Cricetulus griseus: one gene and its partners. The protein of the gene in region 1 interacts with the protein of each later gene in a biochemical or structural test. Links are inferred from orthologs where the notes say so. Each region holds a gene or a part of one and is shown in the gene's direction. Other genes may lie near its edges.

What was found.
Region 2: the proteins of complement factor H (region 1) and Ptx3 form a complex in vitro, tested with the Homo sapiens proteins (3 studies listed by IntAct, with this or other methods). The link is inferred for Cricetulus griseus from reciprocal best matches to the Homo sapiens genes CFH and PTX3.
Region 3: the proteins of complement factor H (region 1) and Crp form a complex in vitro, tested with the Homo sapiens proteins (12 studies listed by BioGRID and IntAct, with this or other methods). The link is inferred for Cricetulus griseus from reciprocal best matches to the Homo sapiens genes CFH and CRP.

Annotation. Positions count from the first base shown.
Region 1 is NC_048598.1:49,695,584-49,699,242, forward strand, and holds part of complement factor H, read left to right. Parts: intron 1-1,633; coding exon 1,634-1,810; intron 1,811-2,534; coding exon 2,535-2,711; intron 2,712-2,883; coding exon 2,884-3,093; intron 3,094-3,659. UniProt on the Homo sapiens protein: Glycoprotein that plays an essential role in maintaining a well-balanced immune response by modulating complement activation.
Region 2 is NW_023276806.1:86,731,504-86,735,658, reverse strand, and holds the start of Ptx3 (pentraxin-related protein PTX3), read left to right. Parts: upstream 1-1,208; 5' UTR 1,209-1,391; coding exon 1,392-1,521; intron 1,522-1,940; coding exon 1,941-2,342; intron 2,343-4,155.
Region 3 is NC_048598.1:20,185,285-20,188,122, reverse strand, and holds Crp (C-reactive protein), read left to right. Parts: upstream 1-1,357; coding exon 1,358-1,421; intron 1,422-1,627; coding exon 1,628-2,241; downstream 2,242-2,838. UniProt on the Homo sapiens protein: Displays several functions associated with host defense: it promotes agglutination, bacterial capsular swelling, phagocytosis and complement fixation through its calcium-dependent binding to phosphorylcholine.

The DNA of each region.
Region 1 (3,659 bases):
CTGGATTGGTTGGTCCTCAGGGTTCGAGTCGTCCTGTTGAAGATCCCTGGGCAGGGTTTGCAGGGTGGGCAGATGGAAGTTGGGCCCAAGACAAGGGCTGAAGCAGCTCTCCTCTGCACTCTCTGCACTCTGTGGGGGCTGGAATAGCCCAGCGAACTCAGCAGAGTCAGGATCCCAGGGGCCTCAGGGACTGATTCAGTCAGTCTGCAGATCCCTGGGCAGGATTTGCCAGGGCGGGCAGGTGGAAGTTGAGCTCAAGTTAGGAGCCAAATCAGCTCACCTCTGGACTCTCCGCACTCAGTGGGGGCCGGAATGGCCCAGCGATCTCAGCAGAGACAGGATCCCAGAGTCTTCAGGGACCAATTCAGTCACAGAAGTATTTTTGAAGCTGTTTAACAAACAATTTCATATGGGAGAAAATTCAGACATATCAGGAATGAAAACAATTTTCCATTCTGTTACAAAATTATGTTTTATTATTTGTTCAATTTTCTGAGATTTTATTCTGTTGATTGATCTGCCTATAGTGACCTTCATATGACTTTCCTCAGTTATCATAACCTTGTGCTGCAATGTTAAGCTTACAGTACAAACATATTTATCCCTCCACTATATATTCTTATTATTCTCCATACCTATAGCTTTCTCATCACAAATAAGAGATTCTTATGAAACAAATCAATCACATAGTTCCCATGCCCCCATGACTATTGGTCCTTCTCAGGTGTCTTGAGATTTTTAATTACTCTAGTCAATATTTTAAATATTGTTTTCGAAGAAAGTTATAGTACTTTGGCTAATCACTTGCTTTTATTTACTCTAACCATATACATTTGACTCTTCATTTCAAATTATTAGCAAATGTATCCAGGACCCATACTGAAATTTTCTCAGATTCAAAAAGGACTCTCATTGTCCGTTAGAAATTACAACACATAACACATTGAAAGGTGTATACATAGCCCTTACTTAAGTCATAACACAACCAGTTTTATTATTATGACATAATATTGTTGTATTATTGGATGATCTATAGCATAGGAAATAATTTCTTATGGAGTCTTACAAATGGAATATGAAGGAGAGTGACAGTGACTACAACTATCTAATATCTTATACCAATACTAGCAATTAAACAACTGTTTAAAACACAGTATAACTTTGATATTCTTTTTGTAACAACACATCTATCAAAAAAGAAAATTCAATCTAGCAAATTTTTAATAATCTATCTGCTCATATTTTACTTTTAGTATTTTTGACATTATGGACTAAAATTAAGATAAGGGGAGAGCAACAAATGTGAACATTTCACAGCTTTCAAGCATGGGACCAAAGCTGGTCATGTCATTTCCTATGTAGAGTATCTGAGACAGTGATTTACTTTGCTCTTGTAGGTTTCAAGTACGCATATCCCTTTATGATACATACTGTCTCTGAGACGTAAAAGACTGGACATCATAGTTCTCACATCATAGACCAGTCTGTATGGTGACCTTATCATTTTATTTGGCAGAATTTATAGGTATAAATAATAGTTTCATTTGTACATTGATTGTATAGCTATTTTAACTTAGCAGGTAGCTCATTTCTTGAAATTGATTTTATTTTTCCTGGAATTATTTTCACATAGCAACAGATCAATTGGAGAAGTGTAAAGCACCAAAGGCAAAGGATAAGGAAGCAATTCAACCCAATAGGAATGAATTTAATCATAATGTCAGTGTGAGTTACAAATGTAGAGGAAAGCAGGAGTATAAACACTCAATCTGCATCAATGGAAGATGGGATCCTGAGCCAACCTGTACAAGTAAGCTCTTGTTTGCACTGTCCTCTAGTGGTTATTCTAGTATTTACTTACCTGTGATAGTAGTAGCCTTGAGCTCTTAAACCACAGTAAATTTTGTTGAGAATTTCTTATGTGAATTCTGCATTTTTATCATTTCCAACTCTCCCTCTTCCACTTGAACAACTCTGAGTCCCCTGTACTTTCTGTCCAATTCATGACCTCTTCTTACACACACACACACACACACACACACACACACACACACACACTATGCATACATTTACATGCATATATATACATACATATATATATATATCTTGTATATATAAATTCATCCTGATGTGTCCATTTATTGTTTTTCCTATAGATATATGATTAGCACTAAGAACTTGAGATTGGATAACCTATTTGTTGGCTCACCCATCCCTGGAAAAGTTTAATTTTCCTACTCTATGTAACCTTAATTTAATATATTTCAGATTATAATTCATTTAAAACATCATAAAGACTAGAATAAATTAAAATAAGTTTGATAGAAACACTGCAAAACTGCTTTAAAAAACAAATGAGAACAATTCAAAGGACAAGAATAATTACTAAACTGCTATATAAGGTGAAAACTATAAAATCTACATAACTATTATACAGTCATAAGTAATTTGTCATTTAATGATAATCATTACTTCAATAATTTAGATACTGTATTTAGTCAAGAATTCTGGTTTCTGATGTATTTTGGGAGCAGACAAAGGATCCTGCCCTCCTCCACCGCAGATTCCAAATGCCCAAGAGATGCAAACCACAGTGAAATACTGGGATGGAGAAAAAGTATCTGTTCTTTGTCAAGACAATTACCTAATACAGAACACAGAAGAAATGGTGTGCAAAAATGGAAGGTGGCAGTCATTGCCACGATGCATTGGTCAGTAGCTATGACTTATTTTACAACATTATTGTTTTAAGTACTCTAGAGAACTCAAGTGACGGCATATTTAAAAGCTAGGGCTTAAGATATAAACCAAACAGTTTGTTTCTGTTATCCAGTATAAACTTTTTATTTATGCATCACTGTTTCATTTGTGTTCTTCATATAGCAAAAATTCCATGTTCTGAGCCTCCTGAAATAGACCATGGACGAATTATATTACCACGATCATCAGAAGAAAGGAGAGAAACAGATTTTTCCAGACGTCATGAACACGGCATTACACTCAACTATGTTTGTGATGATGGTTTTATGATGGCTGAGGATCATGGTGTAACCTGCCACATGGGAAAGTGGAGCTCTCCACCTCGTTGTGTTGGTGAGAGAAGCATGAAAATTCAATTCTGGTTTTAGAACAAGTCTTTACCAATAATCTACTCTCATCAAAGCCAGGAGAAAGAATGGTTTAGACTGGCACATATAATCATTTACCACAAGTTTATATTTGCATAAATTGATCTATCCTGCTATTATTAGTTGGATTGATTGTCTTAAAATCTACTTTTACTCTTACATTTCTGTTTTTTAATATGATGCATAGTCTACTGACTTTACCTGCTCATGGGAGTAGTAGTGTTTCAGTTGTTCATTTGTCACCAAGTGTTAAACTTCTAAGTGCACACACCCGGAAATGCTGTTTCTGAGATTCTTATTTCCTTTTTTTTAAAATTTCTTTGTCACTCATGATTTGTCAGACATTTCAGTGTCAAGTTTTATTCAGGGTTGAATCAGCTTAAGATATTCGAGACAAAAGAAATTCTTCTTAGGAAGCACTGTCCACCTCTTCTGTGATGGCACATCTTCCTTGTTAACATTCCTTCCAATACCACTATACATAGAACTGACACATACAAACAAGTTTCTGAATTAGTGCAATGTGGAATC
Region 2 (4,155 bases), on another chromosome or scaffold:
TCCTATTGTCTCATATTGTCATTTCTTTCTTGTAGGCCTTAAAAATGGTTTCAAACATACTCATTTTTAGGTGTTATTTCAAATAAGTGACACGAGCAGGGGCTTAATGCCTTTTGACTTTCTGTTGATTCTTATTTATGATGTACTATTCCTTCAGATGTTGAGATATGTTTAACTGTGAATTCATTTTTACCAAGGTGGTTGGTATATGGATGTGCACTCCAGATGCGTGAGGGCAGGCCCCTACTTACAAACTCTTAGGGGTCTGGTGGCATTCAGTCGGGGAAAGCCATCTCATCTGGGGACTGGGGACTGGGGACTGGGGACTAGGGACTGGTATCAGCTCAGGAGCTGACCCTCTGGGCTTTGTTCCTTTTAGAACTTTGGCCACTGTATATTGTTGCTTTATTTAGAGTTCATCTGAATATTTCAAGTTTTTTATCACTACTATTATGATATCAACACCTATCTAGGTATTTCACGCAGGTGGGATTTTTCAGTGCTCTCTCTCTCTCTCTCTCTCTCTCTCTCACACACACACACACACACACACACACACACACACCAGGAGTCACTAATTTAAATTTAAAACAGGATCTTTGCCTCTGAGTTTTATAGGATATGTCCACCCAATGATATATATCTCCATTATATATATATATATATATAATATATATATATATATCTCCAAGGTCCTGAAGTCAACATATCTCCAACATATCTCCAATCCCTCCCAGTTTCCCCTTTTATTAGAGGTTTACTTAGTTGTACTGTATTTGTTAGTTGCAATTCCAGAGGAGTAAAGACAAGGAAGCCAGAATGGGTTTGACTTCTAAAAACATAGAAATTCTTAATGTGTCAGGTTATCTTGAAGTCACAGAATCATTTTCTATAGCTTGGACTTGAGAAAGTGTCCAAAAGGAAAGTGAAAAAAAAAAGTTTTCTATAACGTAAGGAAGGGTTTGTGGACTAGTGAAAGCTCACACAAAGTGCCAAAACGATCACTTGCCTTGCACCTCTGTGTTTCCACCCCCAGTAGTGCTACCAATTCAGGCTTCAGTGGCTAATGATCTTCATAAGGACCAGCAAAGTCCTGTTTCCCCGCCCCCCCCTTCTAATTAATCTGCCTACAGTGTGGACTTTTGCGGTTTAACATTGTGCAACCTCTTCGGCTCCCTTGTCCTCCCACCCAACCCCCTCCCCCAAATCCAGGGGAACTCCCCCGCGCTTTGCCACCGGCATTACTCATTCATCCCAGTTCAGGCTTTGGAGCCTTTATTAAGGGCTTCGCTCCTGCCTCACTCTATCTCTCCCGGGCTCAAATTCGGTTCACTGGAGAGCCTCGCTTCCTCCCCTACCGCAGCTGCGGAGCAAACTTCGTCTCTCCAGCAATGCATCTCCCTGCGATTCTTCTTTGTGCTTTCTGGTGTGCAGTGTTGGCTGAGACCTCGGATGACTATGAGCTCATGTATGTGCATTTGGACAACGAAATAGACAACGGACTTCATCCCACCGAGGACCGTAAGTTTATTTTAACTCTCTCAGTCACGGCAACTACATAACCCACTTTTTGGGGCTGCAAATAACATAATATACTTAGTAGCCAATGAAGCAAGCTAAAATCGTATTTTGTTTTGTAAAAGTGAGAAAAGTCAGAGGTTTTAAATTTTTTTGCAACGTATATAATGAGTTAGACTAGATGAAATCGCTGCTTTTGAACTGTTTTTAGCTACAGCGATGGCAGTTCTCCAGTTAGGTTAAACTTGCAGGTAAAGAATGGTTACTGTGTCAATTTTTTTGAGAAGTTTATACGCACGCTGTTTTCAGCGCTATCCTTAGAAGGAGGAGGGTTGTTGGGGACAGGCTTAAACTTGAGGTCACTGAGGGTGCAACCCACCGGCCGGGTAGGCTGGTAAAGTTGTGTGTGTCCCGCGCTCTAGCCACGCCATGCGACTGCCGCCCGGAGCATTCGGAGTGGGACAAGCTGTTCATCATGCTGGAGAACTCACAGATGCGGGAGGGCATGTTGCTGCAGGCCACCGACGACGTCCTCCGCGGCGAGCTGCAGCGGCTGCGGGCCGAGCTGGGCCGGCTGGCGGGCGGCATGGCGAGGCCATGTGCTGCAGGGGGCCCTACGGACGCCAGGCTGGCGCGGGTCCTGGAGCCGCTGCTGCAGGAGAGCCGTGACGTGAGCCGCAGGCTGGCACGCCTGGAGGACGCGGAGGCGCGGCGGCCCGAGGCCACAGTGCCCGGCCTGGGTGCAGTGCTGGAGGAACTGCAAAGGACGCGTGCCGACCTGAGTGCGGTGCAGAGCTGGCTCGCCCGCCGCTGGCTGCCCGCAGGTAAGCAACGGGTGCAGAGCCCACCGTCGGCTTTGTCCCTAGAGCCCACCGTACTTAATCACACCAGGTACGCTTCAGTGAGGGCCCTCACACGCGGAACTCCGGAATTTTTCATATCCATGCTCACAAAGCTCAGATATAACACACATTGCCTTTAAAAAGTATATCCCAGACCTAGCAAAGTTGGGGGTTTAACCACCAATCTGGAAGTAGACGTCAGAGGTCCCTGATACCGGATCTGACCAGATATTATAATCCCGAGTCCCTCCGTTAGGGATTTCCACGTCTTCTAATTTTATCCGGTCTCTGCCTTTAGGCGAGCTCTGGTTTCCTACACTATTTCAGGGCCGGGGTTTACTTCAACTACTTTGCCAGCCTCTCTGCGGACTCCTCCCCCTCTGCTTCTTGTGAGCTGACTTGAGCCTAATTGGATCTCCTGCAGAGTCAGCAGAATTCTGCCAGGGTTTCCTCAGTCCAGTTAATTGCACAGTAAAGGTCAAGGGGTGTGGGGTTTGGAGTAAATTCCGTGAAGTCAGGAACAGGAGTCCAGGGTGTAGATGACATCTCCATCTAGACCGCAGGTCCACACAAGAACCGGACTGTAGAAGACTATGCAGCTTGTCAAAGTCCACACTCCTTAAGATTCCCAACTGATGAGGGCCTCCAACGGTATGCTTTTAAAGTTAAAGAAGCAGGACATTACTGCCCAGGAATATGCCTCTTATGTCAAATTTCTGAGGTTCCAGTGGTGTTGATTACTCTAGGAAATTAGTGCCCTATGTAGAAAAACATCCCCTGTGCTTCTCATGAATCTCAGAAACAATGCCAAACAATGCCATTCTTTTGTGTATTTCCAACTAATGAGGTAAGAGGAAGGACTCTCCAGTGCACGGTCCATTCCTTTACAGAACCCATGCTACCATCAGTCCTTTCTAAATATTTGAGGACTGTTTGTCAATATGGAGGCTATGGTCTTAAACCTAAGTAAGTCTTCAGAGAAAAAAGCCTTAAGTCAAATCTAAAGCAAACCCTCAGTGTGGTAATTCTTCGACAAATGTAATAAACACATGGATGTTTTTGTTTTGCAAACTGGGTAAAGTCATGTAGATAAAAGTACTCCTCCACAAGGAAGAGTTACTCTAATTTGTACCCTCACCTATGCTAGAAGAGGGATGTATACGTTTCCCAATTCTAAACTGTTGATGCTTATTATACCCAATAACACTTTCCCATACAGCCTTTGATTTGTCCTCTCTTGCTGTCCTGCCAACTTGGCTCCCAGAAGATTCCTAATCATGCTGTGGTCTGCCTCCTAAGAACCTGGTTTTCATTTCACTTGGTCTTTGATAATATAATTACAAAGACTTATTAGTGAAAAGCCATTTCATGAGAGAGTTACTGACATTTCAAAGAGGTCCCCAGAGACTCAATCACTGTTCTGTAAAAGAATCCCACAAAATCTGCCTACATTACTTTCCAGCATGAACTCAAGTAGCTGCTGCAGCCTACAGTGGGTCTCCCAGACATAGTCCTGGGTAGGTGTGGAATGCAATCCTCACTTCCTGGCTGTATTTAAACAGGAAGGCTGATAATTAGATTGCAGTGGACACCCTCTTGAACAGCACTTTATTTAAATTTACAGAGGCCAGGAGATTTCAGATGCACACAAATAGTAATCTTTTGTTTCCACAATCATTTGATTTAATTGTTGTGGCTAGAAAAATAATTCCACCTTGAAAACGCCTCATTAATTTTTTTCATGGATGATAAGAATTTTCAAGTGATGCTATTATTTGGGGGCATTGCTATTGTG
Region 3 (2,838 bases), about 30 Mb from region 1:
ATTGTTTATTTCTTATAGGGGAGGCAGGAAGGCTGGTAGATTTTACAGTGTAAAAATATAAAGTGGTGTCAACCAAGTTTCAATATGAAAAAGACCAAATTCATAGTGATTTAACAGAGTGTAAGACTGCATATTCGTTAAGCAAATATTCAGGTTGATAGTCAAGGGCTGATACTATGGCTTCATAATAAAAATTAAAGGTTCAGTCTATCTTGTTGCTGTGCCAACCTCAACATGCAGCTTGCCCTTTGTCAGACAAAGGTGACTGCTTTATCTCCTATCAGCGTGGATGAATGCTAGCCAGAGGGGAAGGAAGAAGTGAAAGGGAAGCCATATATGTTCACTTTAAAGGGCACAATGTAGAGATTGTCCCTATCCTGTCCAGCCCTCATTCTGGCCTGTAGCTAAGACTGAGAAATCTAGTGTTTGGTAAGATGGGAATGCACCAAACTAAGACTGGTATTCTTACTGAATGAATGGTTTTCTGCTTCAGGGGATACAGTATTTCTTCTCCAATTTCTTAATTAGAGGGTGACTCATGAATGGAATGAGAGAATGGATAAGATTGTAAGGGGTTCAGGAGCAAGGTGAAGGGACACAGCATTCAACTACAAGACTGAGTTAAGTACAGAGCTATAGAACTGCTCAACTATAGTGAAGCTATGTGGAGGGCCAATGAGATTTCTTAACAAAAGAAGCAAACAACCAATCATCCTGACTCTTCTATGAAGCTTCCACATAAACAAACAAACAACAGTGTTTCATGAAATTGAACATAGTGGTACATTTGGGCTAGGGCATGCATTGCGTTCTGTCAAAGGTCTCTGATAAGTCTACGCTGTTGGCCAAGAAAGATTTGTTCTTGGTGCTGGGAATGGAATGCTCATTTTCTTCATTTTCCAAAGTGTAAGAGAACAGCTTCCGGAAGTGCTTAGCAGATGCTGGAGATGAGAGCATCGTGTGCACACACACGAGTGCTTGTCTATTAAATGAAGATTTCCCATTATTTTCTTAGCCTAGATAGGCAAAGTGGAGCCTTGGGAAGCTTCCTCATTTTTCCTGTCTCAAAGAAACTGGTGATTCAGTGGTCACAGGAGTTTGTAATAAATAACCTACATTGATTTCTCTGTTCCAGAATGATTTTGGCTTCCCTTCCTCCCAGTGGTCTGACGTTTGCCCCAAGAGACAGTGTTAGGAAATCATTTACAAAGTGGTACAGCCTCTCCTTCTGCTATAGTTATAAATCCAACGTTGGGCTGGGACTGAGGAAAGAGATCCAGGACCTCTCATCGTTGATTTTTCAGAAAAAACTGTGTCTTCTTAGTGGGGAAATCCAGGTCCAGCAGCTTCAACAGCCATGGAGAAGCTCCTGTGGTGCTCACTGGTCCTGATCAGCCTCTCTCAGACTTTTGCCCAGAAAGGTAGGATCTATTATAAAGATCTGATGGGGGGGATGGATGAGAGCCTAATATCTTACATATGGAATTCAAGAAACAGCATCGGGTATAGATGCATATTTGTGTAACCTAGGAAAGGTCACATGTCTCTTGATCCCAAACTCTACTCGTGAGGGATGAATCTTTGTTATCTGAGAAACTACTCACTTTCTTGGTTTTCTGTCTCACAGATATGTCTAAAATGGCCTTCGTATTTCCCAAAGAGTCCGACAATTCCTATGTGTCCCTGGAAGCACAGACAAAGAAGCCACTGAAAGCCTTCACTGTGTGTCTCCACATCTACACAGAACTGAGCACAACCCGTGGCTTCAGTATTTTCTCTTATGCTACCAAGAAAAACCCTAATGACATCCTCATATTTTGGTCTAAGGATAGAGGGTATACTGTTGGAGTGGGTGGGCCTGAAGTACTATTCAAGGCTTCAGAAATTCCTGAAGCTCCAACACACATCTGTGCCATCTGGGAGTCTGCTACAGGGATTTCAGAGTTATGGATTGATGGGAAACCCAAGGTGCGGAGAATTCTGCAGAAGGGCTACACTGTGGGGACAGATGCAAGCATCATCCTGGGGCAGGAGCAGGACTCATATGGTGGTGGTTTTGATGCAAAGCAGTCTTTGGTGGGAGACATTGGAGATGTGAACATGTGGGACATTGTGCTATCTCCAGAACAGATAAACACAGTTTATGTTGGTGGGACACTCAGCCCCAGTGTTTTGAACTGGCAGGAACTGAAGTATAATGCACAGGGTGACGTGTTTATCAAGCCCCAGCTGTGGCCCTGACCTACTGTTGTGAGCCCTGGGACACCTCCTGGGATTACATTCTCTTCCTTGTCTCTGGTTATAGACCTTTTAACCCCAACATATGCTGTAGTTCTATTCTGTAAATATGGTCTTTCACTTCCCTGCTCTGCCTTTCTCCATCAGAGCATGGAATTTGAGTATATGGCTTGGCAGCATGTGCGTCATACTAGGAATCTTCATCAAAGAGAATCTGAATTACACATGTTTTTATTTATACATATACTATATGTACATGTAATATATATATATTGTACTTGAATATGTATATGTACTTGAAATATATATATGAAATATATATATATATATATATATATATATATATATATATATATTTCAAGATAGGGTGTGTCTGTGTAACACCCCTGGCTGTCCTGGAACTCTATCTGTAGACCAAGCTGTCCTCAAACTCACTGAGATCCCCTGCCTCTGCCTCCTGAGTGCTGGGATTAAGGGCCCGTGCCACCACTGTCTAGCTTTTTTACATATATTTTTTAATTGAAAGAATTTTGGATAATCCATCACCCTCACATAGATGAGAAAGCACACAGAAAGAAGAGTGTAATTTGTAATTTTTTT